3 linked regions of the Drosophila melanogaster genome follow. The protein of the gene in region 1 purifies or fractionates together with the protein of each later gene. This does not show direct contact. Each region holds a gene or a part of one and is shown in the gene's direction. Other genes may lie near its edges. The genes, in order: Drep1, CG5174 and Strica.

What was found.
Region 2: the proteins of Drep1 (region 1) and CG5174 purify together in Drosophila melanogaster (affinity purification with mass spectrometry, with the first as the bait; one large-scale study listed by BioGRID). This does not show direct contact.
Region 3: the proteins of Drep1 (region 1) and Strica purify together in Drosophila melanogaster (affinity purification with mass spectrometry, with the first as the bait; one large-scale study listed by BioGRID). This does not show direct contact.

Annotation. Positions count from the first base shown.
Region 1 is NT_033778.4:12,042,972-12,050,612, forward strand, and holds Drep1 (DNA fragmentation factor-related protein 1), read left to right. Parts: upstream 1-1,640; 5' UTR 1,641-1,892; coding exon 1,893-1,937; intron 1,938-5,004; coding exon 5,005-5,220; intron 5,221-5,503; coding exon 5,504-5,775; intron 5,776-5,833; coding exon 5,834-6,194; coding exon of another isoform or gene 6,195-6,221; 3' UTR 6,222-7,201; downstream 7,202-7,641.
Region 2 is NT_033778.4:18,421,344-18,426,831, forward strand, and holds CG5174 (uncharacterized protein), read left to right. Parts: upstream 1-1,588; 5' UTR 1,589-1,941; coding exon 1,942-2,392; intron 2,393-2,525; coding exon of another isoform or gene 2,526-2,528; intron 2,529-2,625; coding exon of another isoform or gene 2,626-2,664; intron 2,665-2,783; coding exon 2,784-2,908; intron 2,909-2,982; coding exon 2,983-3,143; intron 3,144-3,263; coding exon 3,264-3,323; intron 3,324-3,528; coding exon 3,529-3,733; intron 3,734-3,996; coding exon 3,997-4,104; 3' UTR 4,105-4,620; coding exon of another isoform or gene 4,621-4,662; 3' UTR 4,663-4,878; downstream 4,879-5,488. Other genes in the region: PIG-O (phosphatidylinositol glycan anchor biosynthesis class O), read left to right, coding at 5,386-5,488.
Region 3 is NT_033778.4:6,019,699-6,024,918, reverse strand, and holds Strica (Ser/Thr-rich caspase), read left to right. Parts: upstream 1-1,774; 5' UTR 1,775-1,876; coding exon 1,877-2,981; intron 2,982-3,036; coding exon 3,037-3,448; intron 3,449-3,507; coding exon 3,508-3,574; 3' UTR 3,575-4,608; downstream 4,609-5,220. Other genes in the region: Pngl (PNGase-like), read right to left, coding at 4,904-5,220.

The DNA of each region.
Region 1 (7,641 bases):
TGTCTGGACAAAAGATTAAGTTGTTAAGATGAAATGTTTTTTGTTATTCTGTTTCTTTGTTTGCTCTTTGTCCTTATAATCCTCTATCTTATGTGTATTTTGTTTTTTGGCTCAGTTAAACTAAACATTCTCGAGCGGCTTGATGCTTCTTAGTAAAACCAATATCGCCAGGCGTTGATTTATTGTTTTCCCTCGATATTGCCTATTGCCTGATTGCCCGTGAGGCAATTACCTGTCACCTGGCTTCGAGGTGGAGCTCAACCCAGATTCCGGCCGATGTGTCAACGTGTCCGTGGTCAATGCACCGCGGTGCATGCACGTGACCTGCGAACTGCAGGCGACACAGCCACCCACACAAGCCAATGTCCTTGTGCGTCCTTTCGAGTGACCTGCGCTTAAAATAGTCACAGCTACCACCCACTGCTGCTTCTCCTCCGCAGGACACGTAGAAGTTACTATGTGCAGTGCAATGACAGCAAACGGGGCAAACTGCCAGCAGCAGAAGCAGCATCAGCATCCGAGGAACCAATGGTGCGCACTAGGATGACAATTTAAGGCTGCCCCATCTCTGATCTCCCCCATACTTGCATGCCCACCTCTTTTCCGGGCTATTCAGTACCGTTTTATACGTGGAAAAACTTTTGAGAATTATATAAAGTTAGTTGATATTCGTATGACTAAAAGAAAACTACTCATTCCTATTTATACCTACATACCTTTATCCTTTATGGAATCCATTTGCTCAATTAGGCGCTGATAAGTATGCAATAAGTTATAGTTTTTATTAGTTTTTAGTATCATAACAGAATCTTTATTTTTCGCCGTGCACAAACTGATGAGAACCCAATCTGGGGCCACCTTCCGGCTTTGGCTTTCCTTTCATGTATTTTGGCCATTTGTCAAAAGTTTGCTTTTTGCTCTTCTTATCTGGACGGTTCGTTGATGTGTGCATGGCAATAGATGTATATAGATTTAAATGGGTGTTGGCCACTTGTGTAGAAAGTTAAGCGTAGTCCAACTGCTCTTTTGGCCGGGTTCCAAGCGGGCGAGGGGATTTCGAATTGACAACACCGGATATCATTGGGCTGATAATGCGCAACCCCTCCCAATGGACTAATTGAATCCGAAAGCACCTTCCGATGGAAATAGAGATTAGATTGCTGGAATCACCTTAACTTTTCAGCCAGGATTGTTCCAGCAAACTCTTTGTGTTTTCTAGGGACTAGGCCACAGCCAAATGTTAACATATTCAGCGAGAGAGAACGTGTTTTTGACTATGTTTGTTTTCTCTTTGTAAGCTTTATGTTTCAATATATTTAAAATTCTAATCTGTTTAGTGTTTTCTTTTAGAAGCACATTATTACCTATTTTACAAAAAATTGATACAATATTAATTAATTAAATAACCAAAATCTACAGGGAATAATTTATAAAAAAAAAAATATAAAAAAAAAAAGTGTTAGGCTTCAAAAATATGTTTACTTATCATGATTAAAAAGAAACATGGCCAATAGGACATAAAACAAATATTATTTGAACCTATCAGTTAACATTCATTTAAAAGCGAGCACTCGCAGTTCGAACTCAACATCTGTTAGAAGCCCTTTCTCTGCGTATAAAAGGCAGTGCTTTTGAGCAAAACGCGCTCATTTCAAAACCGGTGCTCATCGCAACGAAAGCTCCGCTGCGGAGCCGAGAAAATATTGTTAATTCCCATTTGAAGTGCAGCTTGTGGAAGGAAATTCCAAGTTTGTTTGTTCGGACGCCGAGTGCAAGTGCAAGAAGCAAGCGAAAAGTAATCAAATCTATAGAAAAGTCATTTAATGTGGAGCAATTAAGCCTGGAAATAAAGTGCATAGTGAATAAGTAATTTAGTTGGAGCAAACAAAGCCATGGAGACTGCAGCGAACTCGGGCGACTCCAAAAAGCCTTTCAAAGTGAGTTCCCCCTGTAATTGTAAATGGAAATAAAGGCCGCAGACGAACAATTGCATTTTAAGTGCATGCATTATTTTCCTGGCATGTCCATTTTTGGGCGTTGTTGTTTTCGCCTTTGTTGTTGTTGGCCGCGTGCTGCGTTCGCTACTTTTTTTCCTTTTTTTTTGGATTCTTATGGAAACTGGGTTGAACTTCAGAACTCAAGAGAGCCAAAAGCTCAAGCTAAGAGAGTGCCGAAAGCTCAGTAATAAGCATTAACTGCCTGAAATTTGACTTTGCAAATTCAAAAACACTATTTAGTTGCTTTCTTTCTCTTTGTCCTTTTTTTTACATGTTTGTCTAGCTTTGCATTTGCCTTTTGATTCGAGTATTGGGAATTGTTTGCCTTTAGCATTTGTTTTACTTGACTGCTGGGCCATTGTTTCCTGTTTAATTTGTTTATCTGCCGCTTAAACAGCAGAAAGCTGTTTAAAGTATTATGGGGATGTAAAAAACGTGCTTAAGGTTGCAGAAAACCACTGGAAGTACATGCAGCTGACAACTCAAAGGAAACCAATAAACCACAAAGCTATTTAAATTGTCTGTGAAACACAGAAAACAACTTTCGTAAAACATGACTGGAGATAACATCCAGGAATTCCCTCCCCCACTTTATCCATTAAAATGCCGCTCCTTATTAAAATATTTAATTCAAAAACCACCAAACGCAAATCGGCTTAAAAGCTGTCAAATACCATGACAGCCATGAAAATGCCATTAAAAAGGGAAAACTTTTCATCCCGACATGTCGCTGTAATTAGCCAACAGCCACGCCCACGACCCGCCTCAGGCATTTTGTTAATAATTTATTAAACAATCTACATAATGCCGCGGCATAGTTCAAAAGCAATTTAAAGTTGTCGCCTAATTTCCCCAGCGACTCGAAAATCTGCGGCCTACGCCCATCAAATATTAAAATGTCCTGCGACTTGTGGATTCTGCCCGCATCTTGGATGCAGATGATAGAGTTCCTGGCACGTCTCCTTCGGCTGCTCCTAAAACGGAGCCAGACGCCGGAGGTCGTTGCACGTTCATCTACGTACGTATGTGTGGACCAGGACCCTCGGGTCCTGATGGCTGAGCAGCTCGAGTTAGTTGAGATTTATAAGCCCTCAACTCGCTGCTGCTCTACCAATTTGCCCAAGTCGTTTTGCATACACTTTTGTGTATAAACTGGTCTTCTAGAAAAACACTTAACTGATTTCATCTAGACTTTCACATACATTAGCCTGAACTTGTAGTGATGCTAGTTTGGAAATTTGTATCTTAAACAGTAGCAAGTAGGTAACATTTGTGTTTGCTCATTTCAATATTTAAATATTATTCTTATATTTAAATATTAAAAAATAAAGTTTTACTTACCACGATGTGCCAAAAATTTGCTCTTAATGATATAACCTAATAGCATTTCCATTCAAGAAACAACTTGAAACACTTTTGAAACATGTTTACTTTCCGAATAAATCTTGTTTCTGATTTGTATAAGCTTTGTATAATTTTGCGGGTAATTAGATAAACTGCTAATTGAATTGCGACCGCTTGAAAAATCGACGCCACTTGAAAAATCAACTAATGCGATCGACTAAAACTTTTGACAAGTTTCCGAACAAAAACTATGCTTTTGTTTTCGATGCTGCCGCGACTCCCACTTGTCAAATGCGCCAGTAGTTGGGCAAAGTTTTCATTGTTACAAAGTTCTAGCCCCACACGCCGCATTCATGATATGATTAATATTTGGAGCTTTCGCGGCACAAAAGTTATGTGGCTTTAAGTATTTATAAGATAATTTAGGGACGACCTCCTCCGCTATCTGAGCAAATGGAATTGGGATGATAGAGCAGCTAGGCGCACGAGTAAAATGAAATGTTCGAAATGCAAACTCGAGTACAATTTCATTTAGTCACGGTGCTCTCAAATATTCATGAAGGACCTCAAGGAGTTGCACGCTGTCCGACGTTTCGGGGCTATAAATTCTGGGTGGAATGCATTCGTGCCGCTTGCTCCCTTAAAGTTGCGCCTCCTTGAGCCTCCATCTGGACGGGTCTAATTTATGTTTCGTTTAACCTTAGTGCTGAGGCATCATTTAACATCGCATGCAAGTTTAATAGAGCCAAAGGCTTGCGTCCTTCGTCCTTGCAACCGGCGAACAGCACTAACCTATGGCATTCGCGAAGGAGCATGCAGCATGAAGAATGCTGACATGCATAACTTGTCAAATAAAAAGAAAATTTAAAAGGATACGCCAGGGAATCGGGGAGTGGGAGATAAACGACAAATATTTGCACCGCAGCTGCTAGAGTGCATGTCAAACTGCGTTCGAGATCTCGAGCAAAAGTAGAGGAGCTCATGGAACTCGGCATTCGCAACTGAAATATGCACAAAGTCGTCGGGCTGTGGGAGGCACTTTAAGGTGGTGACATCCCCCACCGGGAAAAAGCCGTCCATAAATCTCAATTAGAGCAAATGGACATTTGACAGCAGGACATGACGTGGTCGCAAATATTGCGTTCATTTATTCATTGCGATTTTTCGGGGAATGGAAAACAATCAGCGTCGAAATGTGGTTGTGTATTTATTATTTAGCAACTTGCGCTACTATTTATCTTTTCTCTTTGTTTAATGGAATTTTCAAAGATTGCCTAATTAAATAACTATAAAAACAGGGTAAAGTTTGCGTTGAAAAGAGAAACAGACTGAATAATTAAGTGCAAGCGGGAGGATAATGAATAAATCAGGCGGAAAGTTTCCATAGTTTCTCCATTCCGTTCACGTTGTTGTCTCAAGAAAAAGGGTGCAGCTAAAGGAAAATTTACAACTTTTCCCATTTCGATGTTTTTCCGTTTTCTTATTTTGGGTGCCGACGATGTGAATATTTTATAGGACCTCAGTTGTTTCCCATCTGACATTAATTTATTATTCATTTGATGAGCGGGGCCATGTGTAACTGCTACTGTCTCCGTAATTGCAAACGTGTAATGGTTTATTATTCCCTTTTCCCGGCACTGTCCTTCTGCGTTTTTATGGCCAGGTCAAGGACGTAACACGCAACATTAAGAAGGCTGTCTGCGCCTCCAGTCTGGAGGAGATCCGCAGCAAGGTGGCGGAGAAGTTCGAGAAGTGCGACCACCTGCCCACCATCCACCTGGACTCCGACGGCACGGAGATCGATGATGAGGAGTACTTTCGCACCCTCGACGAGAATACGGAACTGGTGGCCGTCTTTCCCGGAGAACATTGGATCGATGTGAGTAGCCCTTAAATAAAAGGAAAAGGAAAACAGGCACTTAAAAATAATTATATCAGCACCTTTTTTATTTAAATCACCTCAATAAATTCGTTTTGCGATTGTGTAATTTTCATTTCTCAAAGTGAACACCGCTTAATTGGATAGCTCATTTTATGTGTCCCTCCTTTTATCTGCCATAATGACTAATTGCATTATTTCTTGAATGCCATGAAAGAGCTCCATGAGCATGGGACCAAAGCCAGGAAGATTAAATTAAATGCTATCTGCACTCTGTTTATAGCCCACTCACTACGTGACGATAACCACTCCACATGGCAACGAGGCAGGAACTGGAAACGGAGAGCTGAACGGAGGAGGCGAGGGCGACACCACCGATGCCAACAACTCGGAGTCGGCTCGCATCCGCCAGTTGGTGGGCCAGCTGCAGAACAACCTCTGCAACGTGTCCGTGATGAACGATGCCGATCTGGACTCACTCTCCAACATGGATCCCAACTCGTTGGTGGACATCACGGGAAAGGAGTTTATGGAGCAGCTCAAGGATGCGGGAAGGTGAGTTTAATTCCTTTCCCATATACCACTTAATTGTAGCATGATTTCATGACTTTAGGCCATTGTGTGCCAAGCGGAATGCCGAGGATCGTTTAAATCTGCTGAAGCTATTGAAAGCTGGTGCCATTTTCTGCTCGGAACGTTATCCCGAGGATGCGGAGGCCATTGACCGGGAGATTGGACGGCAGTTGAACGAGGCGGAGAGTGGACAGATGAGCACCACAACGACGAGCAACACCCGCACCATCGAGGTGGTGCAGTGCGACAATCAAAACACGACGATAACAATTACGGTGGGCGAGGCCACCACCACTTGCGCCACAGCCAGTGGAGCGATGGGATCCTCCGCTGCCGAAGCGGCTGCCAATGAGGCCAATGCCAATCCAAATAGAAATCCAAATGCCAACGGCGACATCTGACTGCCCATTTTGGGCAGTCTTAGGTAAAGTCTGCCGGCGGAAAACTAACGCAACTGGGTGCGCCAATCAAAATCAAGAGCCAAAAGGATATACCGAAGACATCAGTCCTGCAACATTGGGTTAACATAAATCGTATTTGTAGCATGTAATTAGGCACTGCGAAATCAGCAAAAACGAAACGGAGACGAAATCAAGTCATTGAAAATGCTTCATAGTATCTAAGAGCAAATGAAAGTTAACGAACAATACACGTACTAGATTTAAACACCGGGTCACGAGGCTCAAGAGAACAAGAGGCCCGCGCAGATTTGAAAAGTCTTTTAGCAATCACAGTCAGCGGAATCGTATTTAACCGCATATACACGAGTCACACCAAGCCGTACTAGATGAATAATAATCAAAGGTTAGCGAAATAAGTATTATACTTGAGGTAGAATCCCACAACCAGAGCGAACCCCAATTGGATGGAGTTGTCCCAGGAAACTGTTGATTTGCTTACCGTGTAAATTGTGTTACGAATAGTAGGTAGAGTGGAAACGCACATCAAATATTGTTTTTAGACCAATGCCATTGTGAATGTCATTCGTTAAAGGCCAATTGAGACTGACTGAATTTATGTGTAATAGGTTTTTTCGTGGTTTGAGCGGTTCGGGAAAGATCGGATGGAAGCCTCCAGCGCTGCTGCCCTGTCCTCCCAGAATCCCCGTCTTCCCGCCCCCGAATCCATAGCCAAATGAATTTAAGCGACAGCGCAAACATTGTTAGCTAATTAAACAATAATGGAACACAATAACGCAAATTGCAATTGCCCAATCAAAGTTGGTAACTGTAACTGTCTACAATTCGAATAAGCAATAAGGGAAACCGTAAACGTAAACGAAATCTAAAACCGAATGCAAACAGTGAACAATTATTAAATATAGTGAAAAGCATACAGTAAATGCAAGTGAAAACCCCGAGGCAAACTATATACACGAAACCAAGTAATAAATAAATGATTATTAAACTAAAGTTGATTGAACTAGCATAACTGGCAAACGGGGCGTATGCGCAACGCACAAAGCGTGTGCAACAGGGCGTATGGACTGCATCCTGCTCTTCCGCTGGCAAAAGAGAGTTTCCCCTTCCTTCACCGCTTCTTCCATTTCCCTTTTTTCCAGTTCGAGAGAGCAAGAGAGTGGGAGTCCTACACCTGCTGCTGCCATATAATTGCATTACTCGACGCCATTCTCTTTTGCCATTCAACTTCCTTCGTGACGTCACTGCACCATGACGTTTGCAGGTCCTGGCTAGCTGATTGCGATGGCCTACTAACACAGTTCAAAGCTCCCGGGTGACCCAAATTCGTGACGACAGCGCCCCACAGCAAGGGTCTCTTTGTGGGCGTGGCCCTGGCTTTGATGAATTGAATCCAGCGTCCTGTGGCCTTTGCATACTCAATATCCCC
Region 2 (5,488 bases), 6.4 Mb from region 1:
GTTATGTGCACGAGAGATGGAATTTTTGACCGAAAGCTGCTATCGATAGTGACATTCCTTCGATTTATTTTAGCAACCATCGATAGCTAAGCAAGCGAAACAAAAAATTATTTTCAACTTGAAAGTTTTGCGACAAGTGCGTGCAGTTGGCATCGAAATAGTTAACAAAATTGCCGCAGACTTCCGGAGACAACGCCGTAATGGAGGACCGTAAGTGTGTGGCATACGGACGCAGTGCATCATTGCAATTCCAATGCAGCGGCACATGTTTCCGTGGGCTCTTGTGACCTGGGCGATTGGGACACCTAAGACCTTTCGGGTAATTCGGGTATCATTACTATTGTAGGACTCTGATTCAGCAGCGGCTTTGCCAAAAGTTTTGGGGGACTTAGAATACACAATGAGTTAACCTTGGTGCGCTGGGAATCAGCAGATGAGTCATGGTTCCGATTTGCGTAGGGTGAAAGGCTTTCCAACTATTCGGATTACCGTGGAAGTTCTGCGACATGCCATCGATGGCAATCCGTTTGGTGGGCGGGGGTCAGGTTCTTTGTGGTGTAAGTATTGCATTCTCGGTTTCCGACGTCCATGCATACGTGGCTTTTAGAAGCGCAACATCCGCAGGGCGGCTATGATATGCATATCATCTGAAAACGCCTCCTCCCACTGAGCTTATCACCATGGTGCCACTATAATTGTTCGGAGCTCTGTTCCCCCACCGAAACCACTTAGTAATTGGCTTCCACTTGTTGACTTCTCGATGGGATTGGGCCTGCCACAACAACAGGCACTTCTGAGCAGCAAGAACTCGCAGCAAACCAGAACTAGCTCACATATATATATATATATATATATAGTGTAGATATAGGGTCCATCAATGTGGCACAGTGGCTTTGTGCTCATACAGTGCTTGATGGTCGGAGGAAGCTGGGAAAAATCGGAAAAATCCAAACTGGTAATTGCTATTTAGCAAGAAGCTAAATTATGAATTATTTTCCTTTTTTTGTTTGGCTCCAACAAAGCGATACAGTTATGTACAGTACGTTTTTGCAAAGAAAAACTTTATTTATAGTTATATTTAAAGTTCCTTATCATAGGGTTTTTCAATTTTTAAAGTTGTTCATCTCCTCACAATTGTTTACTTAATAAATTTAAAAGGTACAATTAAAGAAGAATATTATTCAATTAATAAATTGAAGTCTCGGTTTATCAAAGCTTTTTGACTGATAAAATAATCATTTTAGCTGCAATTAAATTAGACACATATATGTATATCTAGTGTCTTATCAAAGCGTACTTATTATTTATGCAAATATTATTAGCTTTATAACTTTCCCATGCTTATTAATTTATAAATTAAATGAAGTGTAAAGTTGGTTACTATAGAGCTAATGTATTTACGTAGCTGTAACTTTTAGTCAAGCTCTACTGTAGTCTTGCTGGTTGCTACTGCTGCTGCTGCCTGTTGCTGCCCCTTTTGTTTAGCGCTCTTCTTGTGGCATTTCTCGTCTTCGTGCTGACACGAATCATCAACAAGCGGAGCCAAGCGGCCAACCAATCCACATCTACCAATTTCTAAGCCGAGATCGAGTCAGTTGGCATTTGGCTGTAGACGAGCGTGGATGGAGCAGGCCCAGAATCGAAAGCGAAAACGAAACTGAAATCGAAACAGAAACAGAAGAACCACCACAAACCAGCTGCGATCGCATGGGGAGAGGAATTTATGTGGAACGCGGCGGGCCAAGAACTGAAAGCTCAGCAAAGAACGATCGAAGTGGCTGAAAGCAGGGCCAAGAAAAATGTGCTCGCTGCTGACCGTGGAAACGTGATATGTGCTTAGGATTGGGCCAAGACAATATGAGCCTCCTGCGCCAGCAGCTGCCACGTTCAAAATAGAAAGTTGCTGCCAAAGATGAAAGAGAGCGCCGCTATTGCCACAGAATGAGCGAATCGGAACCGAATAGCCTGGAGTTCATTGAAGACCCCTATCTGCCAAGCATTGATGATCTCACCAGCACACCGTCACTGGATCTGGAAACCAATGATGCCGTCTTGGACTGGTATGGCGATGGGCAGGAGGAGAGCGAGGCTGAGCTATATTTGCGTAATCTGACGCTAGACCAGATATTCTACGATGTGGATTCGGACTACACCAACAGCCTGGAATTGCAGGCAGTGGAGGCGGACTTCATTGCCGCCAAGTTGGCCAATCAAGCGCCATCGTCTTCGATGGCCAAACGCTTCCGCTTGAAGTTCTTTGCCAAGCGAACCATGCGCGACGTTAAGGTCACGTTCATAGACTTCTCCAAACCGTATCTGGCCAAAATATCAAACAGTGATAACTACAAGAGATTCCTCAACATTGGGCATAGAAGTAGAGGTACCAAATTCGGTCAGTGGGGAGGGGGGTTGGTGGGCTTAGGTCGGGTCTTTGTTCTGTGGCATTCGCTTTTCCACTTTCAACCATGACTAACCAGACTAACTTCTCTGTTTCTTTCTCCTTTGCCTGCCTTTCGCCTCGTCAGTTTGTGAGTATTAACAAAAACCCAGATCTAACCAATTAACCAACTCATGTCTTTGCAAATTGTACATACTCGTATATACAACTAAATTCGGTGTATTCAGCCTATGACAAAGTCTTTGAGGAAGTTGCTTTCAAAGGAGGTACTTAAACACTACCCGCCGACAACATTGAAATTAAGCTACAGTCCCCACACAGCACCCCAAGTTTTAATGTTCCCTTGGATTGGCATATATTTAATGGCTTTTTATTTCATGTTCAGATAATACAGCCAACCTGTCGGAGCCAGCATCTCCAGCTAATTCTGTGGCATCCGCAGAAATTGCCGCCGAGTTCGCTGCGCTTTCCGTCGAGGAGAAGGAGCAGCGTCGGGCTGAGTGGAGTCAGGTAAGGAAGTTTTCAGTTTTACGATCATAATTTGATTACTCAGCTCGAACGCTAACTTCTACTTCAATTTCCAGGAGCTCGCCCGCGTTGAGGAAGAGATCAATACGCTGCGAACTGTCCTAGCCTCCAAGACGCGCCATGCCTCCGATCTCAAGCGCAAGCTGGGCATCACCGTCTGGAAGGAGGTGACGGACGACGTGAACCAGGGCCTTAAGAACCTCAAGGAGAGCACTGTGTAAGTCTATGAACCGTTCGCAGTTCTGCTGGGCAATTAACCCGACTAGACAGTTTTAATTTCTAACCATGCTTTTTGTTTCAAACTCCTGTTGAAACGCTATAACGTGTATTTATTTAGTTACCAATCGGTGGAGCAGAGCGTGGGCACGTTTACTAAAACGGTGTACGAGGCACCACTGTAAGTAATTGGGTTCAGGCTGATTTTTAATTGGGTACTTTTGGAGTTACCGGACTAACGCCGTGTTTCACGCCACTTCCTTTAACACAATAACCAACTCTCGCCTGTTTGTAACTAAAGCGCACCTATGTTTGCCCACTTTGTGTATGGAGGAAAACTATCGAGATGAGTAACTAATGTTGGATTTATTTGTACTCTCCCCTAGATACCAACGCACTGAGTCGGTGCTAAAGTCCACGGGCGAGAAGACCGCCTCGGTGTTTGGCAGCATCACCAGTGGCATTTCGTCGAAACTGTCGCAAATGAAAAACTCCGAATCGATGCGTTCTATCGAGGCTTCGGTGGGCTCTGCCTACGAGAACGTTAAAGTAAGCTATGAACACAACAATTTTATGTGCCAATCTCATGCGGTAACTACTATTTTATTATATATCTGTCTTTACACATCTCTCATACTGTTGCGATTCTGTTTTGGTTCCCGTCTAACTAACTAGCCACTAACTAACCAACTAACTAACACTAACCACACATCTTTCACACTTGCTCACCCACTATAAACGCACTCTGAATTGGGATACTTCGGTTGATTTGCTTGCTTACACAACGAACTACTCCTTGCGCAAATGCTACTGCACCTCTACTACAATCTGTTCGGTTTTCTGTTCTATTGTAGACCAAGGTGACATCCCGCTCGGGTTCGGTGTCCAGTTTCCCAGATGCCCTGGACGAGAATAACACATCCTCGGGTCTGAATTCACCCACAGACTCACTCCCGAAATAGATTTCGGGGCAACTGCAAGGCCAAGCGCGTCGATAATGTGGAGCAACCTATACTACATACAAACAGACCCACGCACCCACTCTATTAACTTATTTAACTAAAGCGAATTGTCGTGTCTGCGCACTAACAACAGGATCAGAATTAATTTAACCAGAAATCATATGTACACCTGTGTCGATACGGTTTATATAATACTTAATATAACTAAAATCTGCGCGTCAAAAATTTGCCAATGGGAGCACATATTATATGCATCTATTTGTATTTGCCTTGGAGACACCATCAAATTGCATGACTTGTTTAAATTTAAAGCCACGGAGGATCGAAGATCCAAGGGCTTGCTGCATTCGTTTATATAACTATCAATCTAAGTGTACGTTTAAAGACTAAACCACATTGGATGGTCCACCCGATGTCATTCCCAAATGTTTCTAATACTTAGTAAAAACATTAGAAAATCATGCATTGCGGTTAAAGTGAATATACATTTGTTTTACGCTTTTATTTCTTCTCTAGGCGTTGAGTTCCGTGGTTAGATGGCGTTCCCTAATCCGTTGAAAAGCCAATTCCAAATTTATTTAGTACTAAATATTTGTGTTACGATCAGAGCTTGCGTGCAAATAACGAAAATCCATTGGTAAACTTAAGTGGATGTAGTCCGTACTGCTGAAGATTGAGAAAGAGACGAAATCGCACCCAATTTGTTGCTAATGCTGATCAAATTTGCTATATGTGTATGAAATCTTTGAATAAATGCAAAAATTTTTGCCCCATAAAAATAGCGATGTCTTTTTGATAAATGATGTTTGGGAGTATATGTGTGATTACCTTTTCAAACTTAAACTACAGCTAATGAATTAAAAAAAGTTAATTTCCAATTTCATCTGTCAGCTTTAAATATCCCGCCAAAAATTATAATAAAGTTGACAACTCTGATTTAACCCAGGGATCAACGTAAAACAGCTGTTTGCTTTGACGAGGTGGCAACGCCATAGAGGGTTCTTGCATACTTCTCAATTTTTTCTTCAGGCCACAAGAAAATCTTTAGATATGAGGAATTTTAAATGAAAACAGCGAGCAAACAGAACGCATCGTGATGCCGGAAACCTAATCAACCACTCCGAAGTAAAGTGCAATTAAATTACATAGTTTTATACAACTGAAAGCGGCTGGCCAGCCGCATAAAGTATTCGCCTACACCAGCATTGTTCTAAATGCTAAAAAGTTTATTACTCATTAAGCATTTGTGTGCCTAGTTAGTTAATTAATCGCAGCCGAAAGATGAACTTGACGTACTTGTTCGTGCTTATTTGGCTGGCCTTCCTCATCAGCAGCGGCGTGATGCTCTTCTCGCGGGGATTCCTATTGGCCCGGGTGTCCAAAA
Region 3 (5,220 bases), 6.0 Mb from region 1:
ATTTAATTTAAGCTAACAAATAAGAAAGCTAGCTTGATATAGATAGATGGCGTTATGATCAAAAACAACGAAACTAGGAATTCTTTGAGATCATTTACAACTACTACTTTTTGAATTTTCCTTTCTTAAATGCCCTCTTAGTTAAATTAAAAATCATTTTTCCAGATAAATGTACTTGATACCTCGTTAAGCCGGTGTTTTCGTTTGATATCAGAAGTTTTTAAACGAAAATTATTTGTTAGTTTTCATATGAGTTTACCTCAATATCATACCACAACTTCCCATATCCATATGTATGTAAATTAATTATTAAACAAGAGAGAATGTTATAGTCGACTTCCCCGGCTATCAGTAACATGTACTCAGCTTTTGTGAAATTCACACTCTGAATGCGAACGAAATTTTTTAATTTTTCTGGGATATCGATAAATATTGGTGAATAAAATAAGAAAAAATTTAAAAACTGTTTAAAATAAGCAGTTTTGGGCGGTTTATAGGGGTAAGAGTGGGGGTGCCAAAAATTTTTTGGCAAATCGAAAGAAATTTAGAAAAAATAATACAAATATATACAAATATAATATAATATATATATATACAAAAATATCAAAACATTTTGCAAAAGTGTGATCGTGGCAGTTTTATGGGGTTTGTGGGCGTTAGATTGGGCGTGGCAACATGGGTCTCTAGAATCTGTATCCAACCTTCCAGCTTTCATAGGTTCTGGGATCTTGACGTTCATACGGCCGGAAAGACGGACATTGGTCGGAAACGCTTCCTTTTACATATTACATACTTTTCAAAGAATCTAGTCTACCCTTTTACTCTACGAGTAACGGGTATAATAATGATTTTTAGTATTAGTCCATATGTTTAATGGAATTCATACATATACATTCAGACATATACATATGTACATTAAAAAAAAAGAGAAAATGCCATATGTGAGCGCTGTCAGATGCCCGTTACTCATCTGATAAATTTAAAAACAATAAATATACCTTCATATATATGTATATGTACGTTTAAAATTGATAAGGTAAAAAGTAAACAAATCATTTCCCAAAAGTGATGACGTGACAGGTTTGGTCGAGTCAGTTTTGGGTGGATTGTGGGCGTTAAAGTAGGCGTGGCAACGGGACAACAAACTTGCTGTACGAATATGTATTTGTATAGTATCTATGTGCTTAATCTCAACCTCCTTGTTTTGATAGTTCCAGATATCTTAACATATGTACATATGTAAAAAAAACTTTTTTGCTTTGTTTTAAACAGCTGATTGGGTCATTGCCTGTGTTCGATATGATTCTTGGAATTGCTAATTGTTAAAATCAGCGGTGTGAATACTTGAGATGGCTTCCCAATTACGTATGGGTAACAAATAAATACATAACCCTTGACGAAAACATAAATACAAAATAAATAATATTTAAAATTATCATTCATTTGTTTATATATACATATATATATATGTATGTTGCATGTATGAATGGATCGGTCACCAGAAGAAATTGTTCAGAATAAAAGAGAGAGTAAGAGCGAACCATATACACGTGTTGGTGAGCTAAACTCGTTCGCTTTGTTGACAACAGGAAAGATCATAAAGGCATTAAAGGTTTTTGGATATGATTGGGAGATATGGTTATCACCCACGTCGGAGTGCAGATAACGGCCACCACGGAGCGCCACAGTTTCACTCCAGTGGTGCGGCGGAGGCTTGCGATGAGTAAGCCTCCTTATCTTGGGAGCGTTTTTATTCTGAATTCTCTCCGAGTCTTTCAGTTCAGCGAGAACCGTCGAGCTTCACAAAGCAACTACAGCGCAGTGCGTGAAAGCCAGTTTAAGACAGAAAGCTCAACACACGCAAACCGGAGTCATTATGGGTTGGTGGAGCAAGAAAAGCGAGACGGATCGCAGTCAGCCCAGCCAGGAACTGGTGGCGCAGGACCCGCGCACACGAGTCCAGACTACGAGTGCAGCCACGGAGACGACCAACACAGCCGTGCAAAACTCGACCATAACGGACAACAACAAGCAGACGGTTACCTTTCTCACCACCCGCCAGACGGTGACGCACACGCAGCGGGCGCTGATCACGGAGACGACAACGCGACGCACGCCTAGTCAGGCGGAGTTAGAGGCTCTCTTCGCAAAGATAAAGATGGGCGGTGAGGGACCCATTGGCTCCACCACCACCACTACGACGACCACCTCCTCGCGCTCCCGACCGCCCAGTTTGAACGGCGTCTCCTTTCGCTCCACACAACCCTTCAAAGCCACGGCAAGCAATGCTGGCAAACGGTCAAGCACCTTAGTCAAGACCGAGCAGACGACAGTGACCCAAAAGAATGGGCGCACGGTCACCCAGCACCTGGAGACTCATAGAGTGGACCTCAAGGGAAGTCGACCTAAGGCGACCTGGGCGTCATTTGCGTCCACTGCAAACAGCTCAACATCCAGCTACGTCTCACCTTATCGTCAGAAGCCAAGCATGGCCATAACTTGCACATCTCCCAACATCAAGACACCAAAAACCACTAGCTCCACGTCCAGTTCCAGTGCCAGCTCCATTACGAGTCCGCCCAAACCATCATCATCTGTATCCTCCATTTCAAGCATTTTCAAGTCCGCTCCCAAGCAAGTTGACAAGCCGCTCAGTTCTACCGCAACTCCCAAGCCCTTCATTAGTCTGGGATCGTCAGGAGGCACCAAGCCGAAGGTCACTGCCGTCGCGCAATCCCAAGATGCCCAGGGCACGATTTCAACGAGCCTGGGTATCTCGAAATCAAGCCTGACCAAGAACAAACTCAAGCCCGCCCGGGTGTATATCTTCAACCACGAGCGGTTCGATAACAAGAACGAATTCCGAAAGGGAAGTGCCCAGGATGTGAAGGTCTTGCGCGCCACCTTTGAGCAGCTGAAGTGCAAAGTGGAAGTTATTACAGATGCAACCCTGGTCACCATTAAAAAAACAGTGCGAATGTGTAAGAGGAGAAGTGTAGTTTCTCGGCTTAATCAATTAATTTTTAAATTTTGCAGTGCAAACCAAGGACTTTGAGGACAAAAGCGCTCTGGTCCTCGTGATCCTCAGTCATGGAACGCGCCACGACCAGATCGCAGCAAAGGATGACGACTACTCCCTGGACGACGACGTTGTTTTTCCCATTTTGCGCAATAGGACGCTTAAGGACAAGCCCAAGCTGATTTTCGTTCAGGCCTGCAAGGGCGACTGCCAACTAGGGGGCTTTATGACCGATGCCGCGCAGCCCAATGGGTCTCCAAATGAAATCCTCAAGTGCTATAGCACGTACGAGGGATTTGTATCTTTTCGCACGGAGGACGGAACTCCTTTTATTCAGACACTGTGTGAAGCTCTTAATCGATCGGGGAAGACTTCAGACATCGACACCATAATGATGAATGTGCGTCAAGTGGTTAAAATGCAATCCAAGTAAGAAACTCCACGTGTTTATATATGACCCCATAAATAATTATTAAACTTTATTTTAGAGACCGCCAAATTCCATCTGTCACTAGCACTCTTACCTCTAAGTACGTTTTTGGAGATTATATTTGACCATAGATCTTAAATCTAAGACACGCCATTAAATATCAAAATTAATATATATGTAAATAGCACATGGATAGATGTATGTACATAGTATATAGCACATAGCGTCTGGTCCACGTAGTGACGAAGCGTACCAGAAGAAGGTGATATATACGAAGAAATGAAAATTTGCGATGGTTGTCCGATCTTAGCTTAATATAACAATCGAGAGGTAGCTCACAAACTAAAGAGGCGGTAAAAGTGTGAGGCTAAATATTAAAAAAAAATTAGTCTGGGGTCGGAATTGTTAAAGGAAAACTATTTTCGGTAACCAGAACCTGAAAATATGAAAAACTTTTTTTTATTTTGGTCGATTTTTTAAGAACGGTCATCGCATGTAAAATGTTAAACCGTGTGCCCTTGAAATTTTTTAACTTTTATTGTACTAAAAATTAACGTTTTAATGTTATTATAAAATAAAAACAGTTATTTTTTCTCAATACCAATATAATGACCCATTCTTACCAATAAATTAGGTATGACCGTTTGCTAACTCTAATTTAGTGTAATGGTACCAATGATAAATGCCATACAGCTAAAAGAATATATGTAACATTAGTTTTGTATATATGTATATTCTACACAAAAATGTTTTGATGTTTCAACCAAATTTTAAGATTCATATATATATGCGCATTTTGTTGTAGATGATTAGCGAAAAACATGTTTCGAAAAATTTTAATATACCGATATTCATAAAGGGCAGGCAATAATCGAATGACTTTTTGGTGATGTAAAATGGCAAAATCACTGCGCGGTTCTCTGAAAATCGCTGAATACCTACATATGATATCTATTTGTATACCCGTTAGTTGTAAGCAAAATATACAAAGTATATGAATTCTTTATCAGGATCACTAGCCGAGTCGATCTAGTCTTTTTAATTGTCTTGCCTTTTTTCATCTATATATGTAAATCTTGAAAAATCGTCCCAGCAATTGTGACCAATAAAATTATTTATTGCTTTGATTCCGGATGAAATAAATATTGACATATAGAAGAAAATAAAGTTTAAATGTCGTTTCTAAATTTGTCATTCATATTTTAATTAACTGCAACCCAAATCTAAGAACCTTATATTTTGTATTAACTGTTTCCATGCGCTTGTTCTATATATATAGAAATTTCATAAAAGTTAGTCCTTAAAACTTCAAGTATAATTACATATAGCGACACTATGTGCCTTTATTTAATTTTTAATATACATTTTTGATTATTATATTTTCATCCAGACTGGGAATCGTTTATATTATTTACAATTACATTTTAATTTCTCCAAAATATTTTTTGAGGACTTCAATGTAGTTGCACTTGCAGATCGAAGGGATAGTCTCTTGAATTAAGACTCTGCCTGAACAGTTGTGTGTGTTGCCATGCTACATCGCCCTTGCCACCCGTAAGTTTGGCCACTATTTTGAATCCAGTGGCATTTTCAACCGAAGCGCTTCCGTCGGTGGCATCGACAGTCACGCTGATTTTTCCGTCGCCAAAAGTTTTTGTCTCGAAAACTAAGTTGTAAGACTTAACCTTTAAATTGGTCTTGCTGAAATCAAACGTCCAGGCAATTTCTCCGCAATCGGTATCCTCCAGTCTAGCCAAATATGCCATTTTCC